2 linked regions of the Oryctolagus cuniculus genome follow. The protein of the gene in region 1 purifies or fractionates together with the protein of each later gene. This does not show direct contact. Links are inferred from orthologs where the notes say so. Each region holds a gene or a part of one and is shown in the gene's direction. Other genes may lie near its edges.

Evidence for each region. Proteins that work in one complex are often made in the same cells at the same time.
Region 2: the proteins of TRERF1 (region 1) and DNTTIP1 purify together in Homo sapiens (affinity purification with mass spectrometry; 3 studies listed by BioGRID and IntAct, with this or other methods). This does not show direct contact. The link is inferred for Oryctolagus cuniculus from reciprocal best matches to the Homo sapiens genes TRERF1 and DNTTIP1.

The regions. Positions count from the first base shown.
Region 1 is NC_091436.1:127,490,483-127,495,121, forward strand, and holds the start of TRERF1 (transcriptional-regulating factor 1), read left to right. Parts: upstream 1-1,618; 5' UTR 1,619-1,857; intron 1,858-1,910; exon of another isoform or gene 1,911-2,082; intron 2,083-2,104; exon of another isoform or gene 2,105-2,290; intron 2,291-2,371; exon of another isoform or gene 2,372-2,445; intron 2,446-2,710; 5' UTR 2,711-2,795; intron 2,796-4,639.
Region 2 is NC_091442.1:13,583,442-13,587,651, reverse strand, and holds part of DNTTIP1 (deoxynucleotidyltransferase terminal-interacting protein 1), read left to right. Parts: intron 1-299; coding exon 300-358; intron 359-456; coding exon 457-517; intron 518-3,594; coding exon 3,595-3,666; intron 3,667-4,210. UniProt on the Homo sapiens protein: Increases DNTT terminal deoxynucleotidyltransferase activity (in vitro). Also acts as a transcriptional regulator, binding to the consensus sequence 5'-GNTGCATG-3' following an AT-tract.

The DNA.
Region 1 (4,639 bases):
GGCCAGCGCTCCTCGCTCGCGTTCTCTCCGGCTCAGGTGCTCCAGCCCTGGCAGGGTGAGGCGAGCCCACCGCTGACGATGGAGAACCGTTACCCCTCAAAAAGCACAAAAACCTCGGCGGCTTTTGGCGGCAGCCTCCCCCGCGCCCATGACCTCATGCTTTAAGCTCCCATACAGCCTTCCCGCGCCCTGTCCACACCCATGCTCCCGGGTGGGGGTGGGAAAGGGAAGGCGGCGAAGGGCCCGGGAGCGGGCTTTGGGGAGAGGGGCGCAGCGATTTCCCTTCTCGGAGAAAAGGACGGTGTTAACTTTCCCTCGTGCAAAAAAACCCGCTCGCTGTCTCGCGGGTCCTCCAGGGGACACACGCCTCGAACCCCGCTGGAGGTGATCTGCTCACTCAACTCTCCCAGGCTCGCGTTTCCCGGGACCCGCAAAGCCGCCGGGAGAGGTTGGGGCCACGGGGCTGAGTTCTCCCCGGTCTCAGATCCCGCTGGCGGGCGCGCCTTTGCGGGACCCAGGGGCTGTTCTGCCCTCACCCCCCCCTCCAGCACCCCGCCTCTCCCCAGGCCCGCGACGTCGAGGCTGGAACCCTCCGCTCGCCTTTCAGCCCGCGCCCTGCCCCCTGCTCGCAGCTGCTCTCGGGCTGGGTGCAGCGGTTTCCCCCGCAGAGGAGGAGGAGACAGCGCAAGGGAGCGACTCCGGGCTCGGGTTTCCGCACCAATGCCGAGCAGCCCCGGGCGGCCCCCGGCGGCCGGCCCTCCTCCCCGGCACCACGTTCCACAGTCATGGCGCGCGAGGAGGGGCGAGCGCGCGCCCGGCCGCACCCGCGCCCCCGCCCCTCGCCTCGCCGCCGGCCCCGGCCCCTCTCCTAGGCAACCTCCCTCCCCGGCCTGCTGCGCCGCCGAGACGGAGACCCCTCCCCAGAGAGCTGCCTTTCCAGCCAGCGCCGGCTGCAGCGCCCCCTCCCCGCCCCCATCGGGGCGGAGGGATGGAGCCGCGCGCTCCGCGAACCTCCAGCCCCTTCCCCGGAGCCCCAGCCCCTCTCGAGCCCCACTGAGGCCCGGGTGCGGCGGGGGTAGGCGAGGACTGTCTCCTCGCAGCCCGCCCACACCTTGGCATCTTTGCAAACCTATATATATATATAAAATAAAGCACACCCTCCCCCCTCCCGCCCTGCCTCCCCGCCATCCTCGTCCTTAGATTGAAAAGCGCGTTACAATAACCGGGACGGTTACGCAGGAAGCAATCCTGCACTGGTCCGGGTCTAAGGCGGCAGCTTCCCGGCCACGCTGCCGGCTCCCGGGCCTCGATTTTCCGGCCATGCCGGAGAGCCTGCGGCACCGCGGGGCTGACAGGTCCGGCACGGGGCCGCAACTGGGCCCAAGTCCGCCGTCCCATCCACGTCCAGACTTGCCGGGCTACAAAAGGTGCAATCTCACGCACACGCAAGGCGCCCAAATAAACTCGGCAGCGCACCGCTGGGGAGGCTGCGAACAATGCACCCGGCGGCCCGCGCCCGGTGCAGCGCGGCGCCCCGGGGGACAGGGCCTGCGGGCGGGGGCCGAGGCGGAGGACCCGCCGGCCGTGGCGCTGGACACCTTACTTCCTGCTTCCCCGCCCGCGACCAGACCCAGCTCTGCGGAGGGATATCTCTCCCCTCCTCTGTCCCTCTCCCTCCCTCCCTTCCCCCGCCCCCCCCCCCCCAACGCCGTGCTTCGACTACCCCCCCAACACCCCGCCTTTCTCCTTTTGCAAGAAAATAATTTGACAGTCGATTTGCTGACAGGGGAGGAATTTGCATCCTGGATTTAAAAAAAAAAAAAAAGGCCGAGAGGAGCTTGGGAACGGTTGCTAGGGGTGGGTAATGGGTGAAAAGGGGGGGGTGTCGGGGAGCGGAGAAGGAGGGCCGAGGGAGGGGGCGAGGGTGGGGAGCGATGCACAAGGTAAGGCCAGGTTGCGGCGGCCCGGGCCCGAGTGGGCTGCGGCCGGGGGAGGGGCGAGAGATACATATGTATTTCTGTCTCCCCAGCACACCCCCTTGCCTAGCAGCGATGGCTGAGAGGCGGTGCATGCAGATGGGGAGTAAGTTTCCTGAAGGGGCGGGTGGCTGCACGCGCGCAGCCCCGCGCTGCCAATTTCCACCGGGGAGGGAGAGTGGCTGAATGCGGAGAGTTTGGAGTTGCTTGCGGCGGAGGGCAGGCAGGGGAGCAGGGCCGGGGCGGGGGGCTGGCGGGCGCTGTATCTGGGAGTAAGTTTCCAGGATCGGGAGAGCCTGCACGCTTGCTCGCTAGTAAGTTTCTGGCCGGGGAGGGCGCGTGGGGAGGAGGCGAGGGAGGGGTGCATGTATATAGAAGGGGGGAGGGGGGAGCAGATTTCCTGCGGGGAGGCTGAATGCATATGGAGAGTAGATTTCCTGAAGGGAGGGTGGCGGCGTACACGGACCGAGTTAAGTTTCTTGCTGGGGTGGTGGCGGTGGGGTGGTGCTCTGGCGACCCTGAGATTCCCACCCGGGGTGGGGTGGGGGAGCACGCTGTTGGGGGCGGGGGGAGAGGGCGAGAGGCCGGGCTCCCTGCTGGGGAGAGGGGCTTGCATCTGGGGAGTATGTTTCCTGGCGGAGCGATATTTGTTTACAGGCTGAGGGCAGTACTGTAAGTGAGTAGCTCTGCAAGGAGGCCGCTGACATAAATTAATATTGAAATTACTCCATCAGCTCTGCTCGCCCCCCGGCCCACCCCCCAAGAGGAGACTGGTCTTGTGGTCGGATTGCCCATGCACTTGTTGCAGAAACAGCCAAGGTAGGCAAAAAGCTTATTAAGTTTCATTTTGAAAACGTTAGTCGGGGGATGCTCCGTGAGAAGACGGAGGGGGGGTGTGTGTGCAGAGAAGGACATATGCCCCCCACCTGGCCCCCCGCCGCTTTACTTTTCCGTGTGTACGCAGGGCCTGCTCCCCTCTTCCCTCGCTGGGCTGCACGGCATCCCAGCAAGGGGGAGGGGTGAGGTGGCCGCTGTAATTGGCAACCCCGGCCTAAAGGGGGGTGGCAGTGGTGGGCTTGCAGTTGAAGGTTGTGATGTTATAAAGCCTTCATTCTTCCAGCCGAGAAACCGCAGGACCCTGGGGATGTGCCTTTTGGGGTTTCTGACATGATGCATGTGTGCATGTATATGCGCCTGCGGGCCCCGTGGGGGCTGGGTACTCCCCAGAAGTTAGTGCGGCCACCCAGATGGGAGAAACGTGCAAGGTGGGGGTCAGCTTGCCCCCTGGCGCCCCAACTTCGGTTTGGGAGGCCGGGAAGTTGGAGCCGGTGGTCTGCAGAAGTAGGTATTAAAACCAAAACCAAAGCGCCCATGTCCCGGCCGGCCGGCAGAGGCGGAGAGCACCTGGCAGGCGGCCTGTGGCCCGCGGTGGGCTGGATGGAGCATGTGCGCCCGGCGTGCTCAGGTTGAAGGAACGCCTGCGGTGCCTCGGTGTGCCTTCCGCCGGCCGGCGGGAGCCCGCGTTCTGCCCCCGACGGCGGGCAGCTCTGGGGAGCGAACGTGTTGAGACGGGGCGCCTCGCAGTGCGGCCTGGGTTGGTTTGCCAAGTGCGTGGAAGTCGTGCTTGGGAATGACCCTTCCGGGGGACAGCTCGGAACGCGCCCCCTGGAAGCCGAGGCAGGTTGTTCAGCAGGCCCGGGAGCAGAGTTCTGGGGGAGGAGTTCTGTGTTGTCCCAGTGAGTACCTGCCTTCTGCATCAGGTTCCCTCCCCCAGGAAGGAGTTCAGCGTCAGAAAATGTGGTTTTCAGGCCCCCTGGAAGGAGAGGAACAGGAGTCCTCCGGGCTGCCGGCTGGGTAGCCGGCAGGCGCTGCCTCCCCGGCCTGCTTCCTTGGCCCTCAGCCTCCTGGTTCCTGCACAGCAGTAGTTGGTGCTGGCCTCAGGAGCCTTGCCGGTGCTGGCAGCTTTAGCGTTGCCAGGATGGTTTCAGCGCTGGGTTCCGATCGAGAGATACTGGGTGGGGTAGACCGAAGTTGTGTAAGCTTTATTCAGTTCTGTAGATGGGCTCAGTTCTAGAAGGGAAAAACATGGGTTAAAAAAAATCTCTTTCCATGTAACTGATGGACACTGCTTTTTTTTCTCTTCTTCTGTCATCAGATTTCCAGATGAAGGCTTGATATTTGTCAGTTTGAGAACTGAGTTGGTTGTGAATTAAATATTATTGCTACTTATCAAATGATCCTAGCTAGGTATTAGTTAAGCAAATTAGCTATTATTCCCCCCCCCCCAAAGAAAATCTGTTTGCTGCATGTATATGCTGGGGGAGTTGACACAATCTTAATGTGTGTTTATTTCAGGGCAAAATTATTTACATGCCTAACCTCGAAGCCAAAAGCAATCATTCAGGTATATATATATATATATATATATATATATATATGAGATTTATTTTATTGTCTTGGTTTGGCCATTAATCAAGTCACAGTAGCTTTTTTTTTCTCTTCCACGGAGAATGTTCTTGTGGTAATAAAGGTTTGAAGGCCCATGAATCACAATTCATTCTTTTTAAAATATTGTGGTGATTGTCAGGATTTGATTTATAGGAATTGATACCGGGAGTGACACACCTCTTTGGGCCCCGCCCTTCTAGACATGTCCATTTTTG
Region 2 (4,210 bases), on another chromosome or scaffold:
TTGAGCCGTCTTCCACTGCCTTCCCAGGCGCATTAGCAGGGAAGTAGATCTGAAGCAGAGCCGCTGAGACTTGAACCTGTGCTCTGATGCTCACTTTAACCTGCTGTGCTACAGCACTAGCCCTAGACTGTCTTATTCTTTTCCCCAGCATCTAGCATGAGGCCTGGGATATTGTTAAGTACTCTTTTTCTTGAGTAAGCTGCTTGTTGGGAATGGTGTATCCAGGAGAAAAGACAGGAGGCAGTGCTTTGTCCCATCACCAGATGAAACCCCCCCTCACCGGCCTCTGTTTTTTGCAGTGGGACCCGGCTCGGCTGAATGAATCTACCACTTTTGTGTTGGGGTCTCGAGCCAACAAGTGAGTCTAAGCTTTGGCACTGATGGAGTGGCAGCTCGGGGGTCTACTACTAGAGTTGCGCCTGCTGGAATCTTTACCACTTGTCTTTCCCTTTTCAGGGCTCTAGGGATGGGGGGCACCAGAGGAAGAATCTACATCAAGCACCCACATCTCTTTAAGGTGAGTGAGTGCCGGGAAGCAGGTGGGCCGCTGCCCTGGAGTAGGTGGCAGTGGGAATTCTGCGTGCCATGGAGAAGCTCGGGACACTCGCTGGTCTGGGAGTCGGGAGTCCCTTCTGCCATTCCCCTGTACCTTTTGTAATTTACTCAACAGCTCTGTGCCCTGGTAGCAATGGCTACTTGGCCTACATGTTTATTGTATGGCAAACATGGTTTTAAGTACAACACATTATCTCCTGGAACTATCCCTTATCTTTATTTTACAAATTTGAAAAAAGCAGAGGTCAAGAAAGACTAAGTGATTTGCCCAGAGTTACTCAGCAAGTCAGGATTCAAATCCAGGTCTGTCTACACTGAAGCCTGAGCTCTTAACCCCTACCTTACTCAGTTGTCTGTGGCGCAAGGCAGGGCTCTACCCTTCTTCCAAGGAGGGACTCCTCTCTGGAGCAGCTGTTTGAGGAAATAACAGGAGAAATCACAAATTCACTCATTGTCTTAAATGAATGTGTATTTTATCAGCCACAAAAGTATTTAAAAGAACAGAAAAATAGAAACGCATGTGTGTTCCAGACATTTTTTGTTCCTGTCCCTAAAGTTTGGTACCCCTTGCCAGAAGCTCCCAGCCCCGTTAGGGTCCCAGAATTACTGTACCTGCCACACTCTGTGCAAATTGGCAGACTTGCTTGCTCTTCTCCAGTCTTGGATCCTAGGAGTCCCAGCATCTAGAGAGGCTGGCAAGCTTGCTGCCGCTCTCTCCTCTCGGTGTCTTCACTCCTGCTGTTCTGTTTTCCTCCCCAACCCTTGTCTGCCCAACTACTCTTTAAGACCCTGAGTAGGTACTCAGGGGCAGGCGTTGTGGCGCAGGGGCTAAGCTGCTGCTTAGCCCACCAGCAACACCATAACAGAGTGTCTGGTTTGACTCCCAGGTACTCCATGCTTCCAGTTGACCTTCCTGCTAATAGGCCTGGGAGGCGGTGACTGATGGCCAGAGTACTTGGGTTCCTGCCACCCACATGGGAGACCTGGATGGAGTTCCTGGCTCCTGGCTTTGGCCCAGCCTCACATTCGCTATTGCAGCCTTTTGGGGATTAAACCAATAGATGGATGATCTGTGTCTTCCTCCTCTCTTTGTTACTCTACCTTTCAAATAAATACAAATCTTTAGGGGCCGGCATGGTGGGTAAAAGCTACCACCTGTATCGCCAGTGTCCCATACAGGTGCCAGTTCGAGTCCTGACTGCTGCACTTCTGATCCAGCTCCCTGCTAATATGCCTGGGAAAGCAGTAGAAGATGGCCCAAGTGCTTGGGTCCCTGCACCCATGTGGGAGACCCAGAAAGAAGCTCCTGGCTCCTGGCTTCAGACCAGCCCAGCTTTGGTCATTGTAGCCTTTTGGGGAGTGAACCAGAGGATGGAAGGTTCTCTCTCTCTCTCTACCTTTCAAATACATAAATAAATCTTTTTAAGCTAAATAAGTAAAAATAGTTTTAAAAAAACCCACATACCCCAAGAGATTTTTTTTTGTTATCATCTATAGATAGGATCTTGGATGGTCTGAATTCCTGTTCAGTTCTGAATTGTTCTGTCGTGTGTAAACCGGGAGTGGCAGACCAACCTTTTAGTGTCAATTAAGAGAGAATGCAGGGAAGCACTGGCTTAAGGCCTGCCACGTGGCACGGGCTCGGTAGAGGTTGATTGTTGTTAGCATAGTTTTCCAGTTCTAAGGCCCACCATTCATACTAAACTCCCAACCCACACTCTCATTCCTGATGGATAATTATTTCTGACCTTGCCCTTGCTTGTCAGGCACACACCCTCCCCACCCCCACCCCAGTCACCACTCCCTTTCTCTTTACAGTTCTCTATTATAAGCATTCTTAACCATTTAGAATCTATTTGTATTTCTTCTGGAAACTGCCAATTACATCTTGTGCCCAATTTTTCTGTCCTTCAGAAGACATTATTTGAATTTATCTTTTCCTTTTTTAGACTTTTTAAGTTATAGAAATATGACCCCATTCTTAGTGTAAAAACCTTCAGCGAGTACACTGGAGTTCCTTCACCCTTGACCCTGACTGCCCTCCACTCCAGACCACCCGCAGCCATGGCAGAGCATAAACACAGATATGGGCGTGTGTGTGTGTCCTTGTCCTGTGGGATATTTTGCTTATTATTTTTAGCTCATACATGTTGTGGTCTGGTTTTCCTTTGGGAAGCAGTAATAATCGTAATCATAGGTGTTGCAAGCCACCTCAGATGATTTATTAAAAGGGGAGGCCAGCATTGCAGTGGAGTAGGTTGCCCCCACCTGCAGTGCCAGCATCTTGTGGGTGCCAGTTTGGATCCTGGCTGCTCCACGTCCAGTCTAGCTCCTGGCTTCTGCCTGGCCCAGCCCTGGCCATTGCAACCATTTGGGGAGTGAACCAGTGAATGGAAAGTCTCTCTGTCTTCCTCTCTCTCTCTTTCTGTAACTCTGCCTTTCAAATAGATGAAATAAAACTTTAAAAAGGAGGCTGTAGTGGCTGGTGATGTGGCATAGTGGAGTAAGCCTCTGCCCACAACACAAGCGTCCCATGGGTGCTGGTTTCAGTCCCGGCTGCTCCACTTGCGATCCAGCTCCATGCCAATGCACCGGGGAAAGCAGCAGAAGGTGGCCCAGGTGCTTGGGGCCCTGCACCCATGTTGGAGACCCAGAAAAAGCTCCTGGCTTTGGCCTGGCCCAAACCTGGAAGTTGTGGCCATTTAGGGAGTGAACCAACAGATGGAAGATCTTTCTGTCTGTGTCTCCCTCTCTCTCTGTAAATCTGACTTTGAAGTAAATAAATAAATCTTAAAAAGAGGAGGCTCTAAAGTAATGGTCACCTGTCCCACTGGTTGCCAGGGAGATGTTTCGAGAAAAGAAGCAGTAGGGGGATTAGAAGTGTACTAAGTCTCAGGGAATTGGATCCCATGCCTTGGCCTCCTGGGCTTGGCTTGGCTTGCTCTGAAGGGGTTACTGGGCCTTCTGCGTCCACCAGGCTGGGTCTTACTGATCAGAACTGCAAGGCTAATGGCTCCCCTTTCACGCTGTTCTCCACAGTATGCAGCTGACCCCCAGGACAAGCACTGGCTGGCTGAGCAACATCACATGCGGGCAACAGGAGGGAAGATGGTAAGCACTGTTCCCACGCGCCACTGCCAGAGGCCACCTTCAGGGACCAAGATTCCCTCTGTCGGCGACAGCTCCTCTCCGAATCTGGAGACCCCCAAAGCCTGATACGTGTGGGAAGGAAGACTTTAAGGCCTGTTTCTCCATGGTCCCCAGGTTCCTTTCCCTGCCACTAGGGCTCCCTTTTTCTCCCTCCACGCTTCCACCCAGCCTTCGTATTTGGACCACACATTGGATCACATTAGCTTGCATAGGAATGACGGGTGAAAGACTCCACACCACTGTTCCCTCGTGTGCCACTGAGTGATCTTACTCATCAGTCACAACACCCTTCCCCCAAACACAGCTACAGGATCTTCTCTCAGTGCAGCGCACCAGCCAGCACCCTGTCGGTAGCTGTGTTTGCCACCCCTGGCAGCTGCTTCCAGACTCGCCTCTGATTAGAGTTCTAGGTCACAGCAAGCGACAGCCTTAGGAACATCGTTGTTGTGGGGCGCTTTGTCCCTCGCATGCAGTGTTCTCCCCCTGAGGACGGACCCCTGCTGCG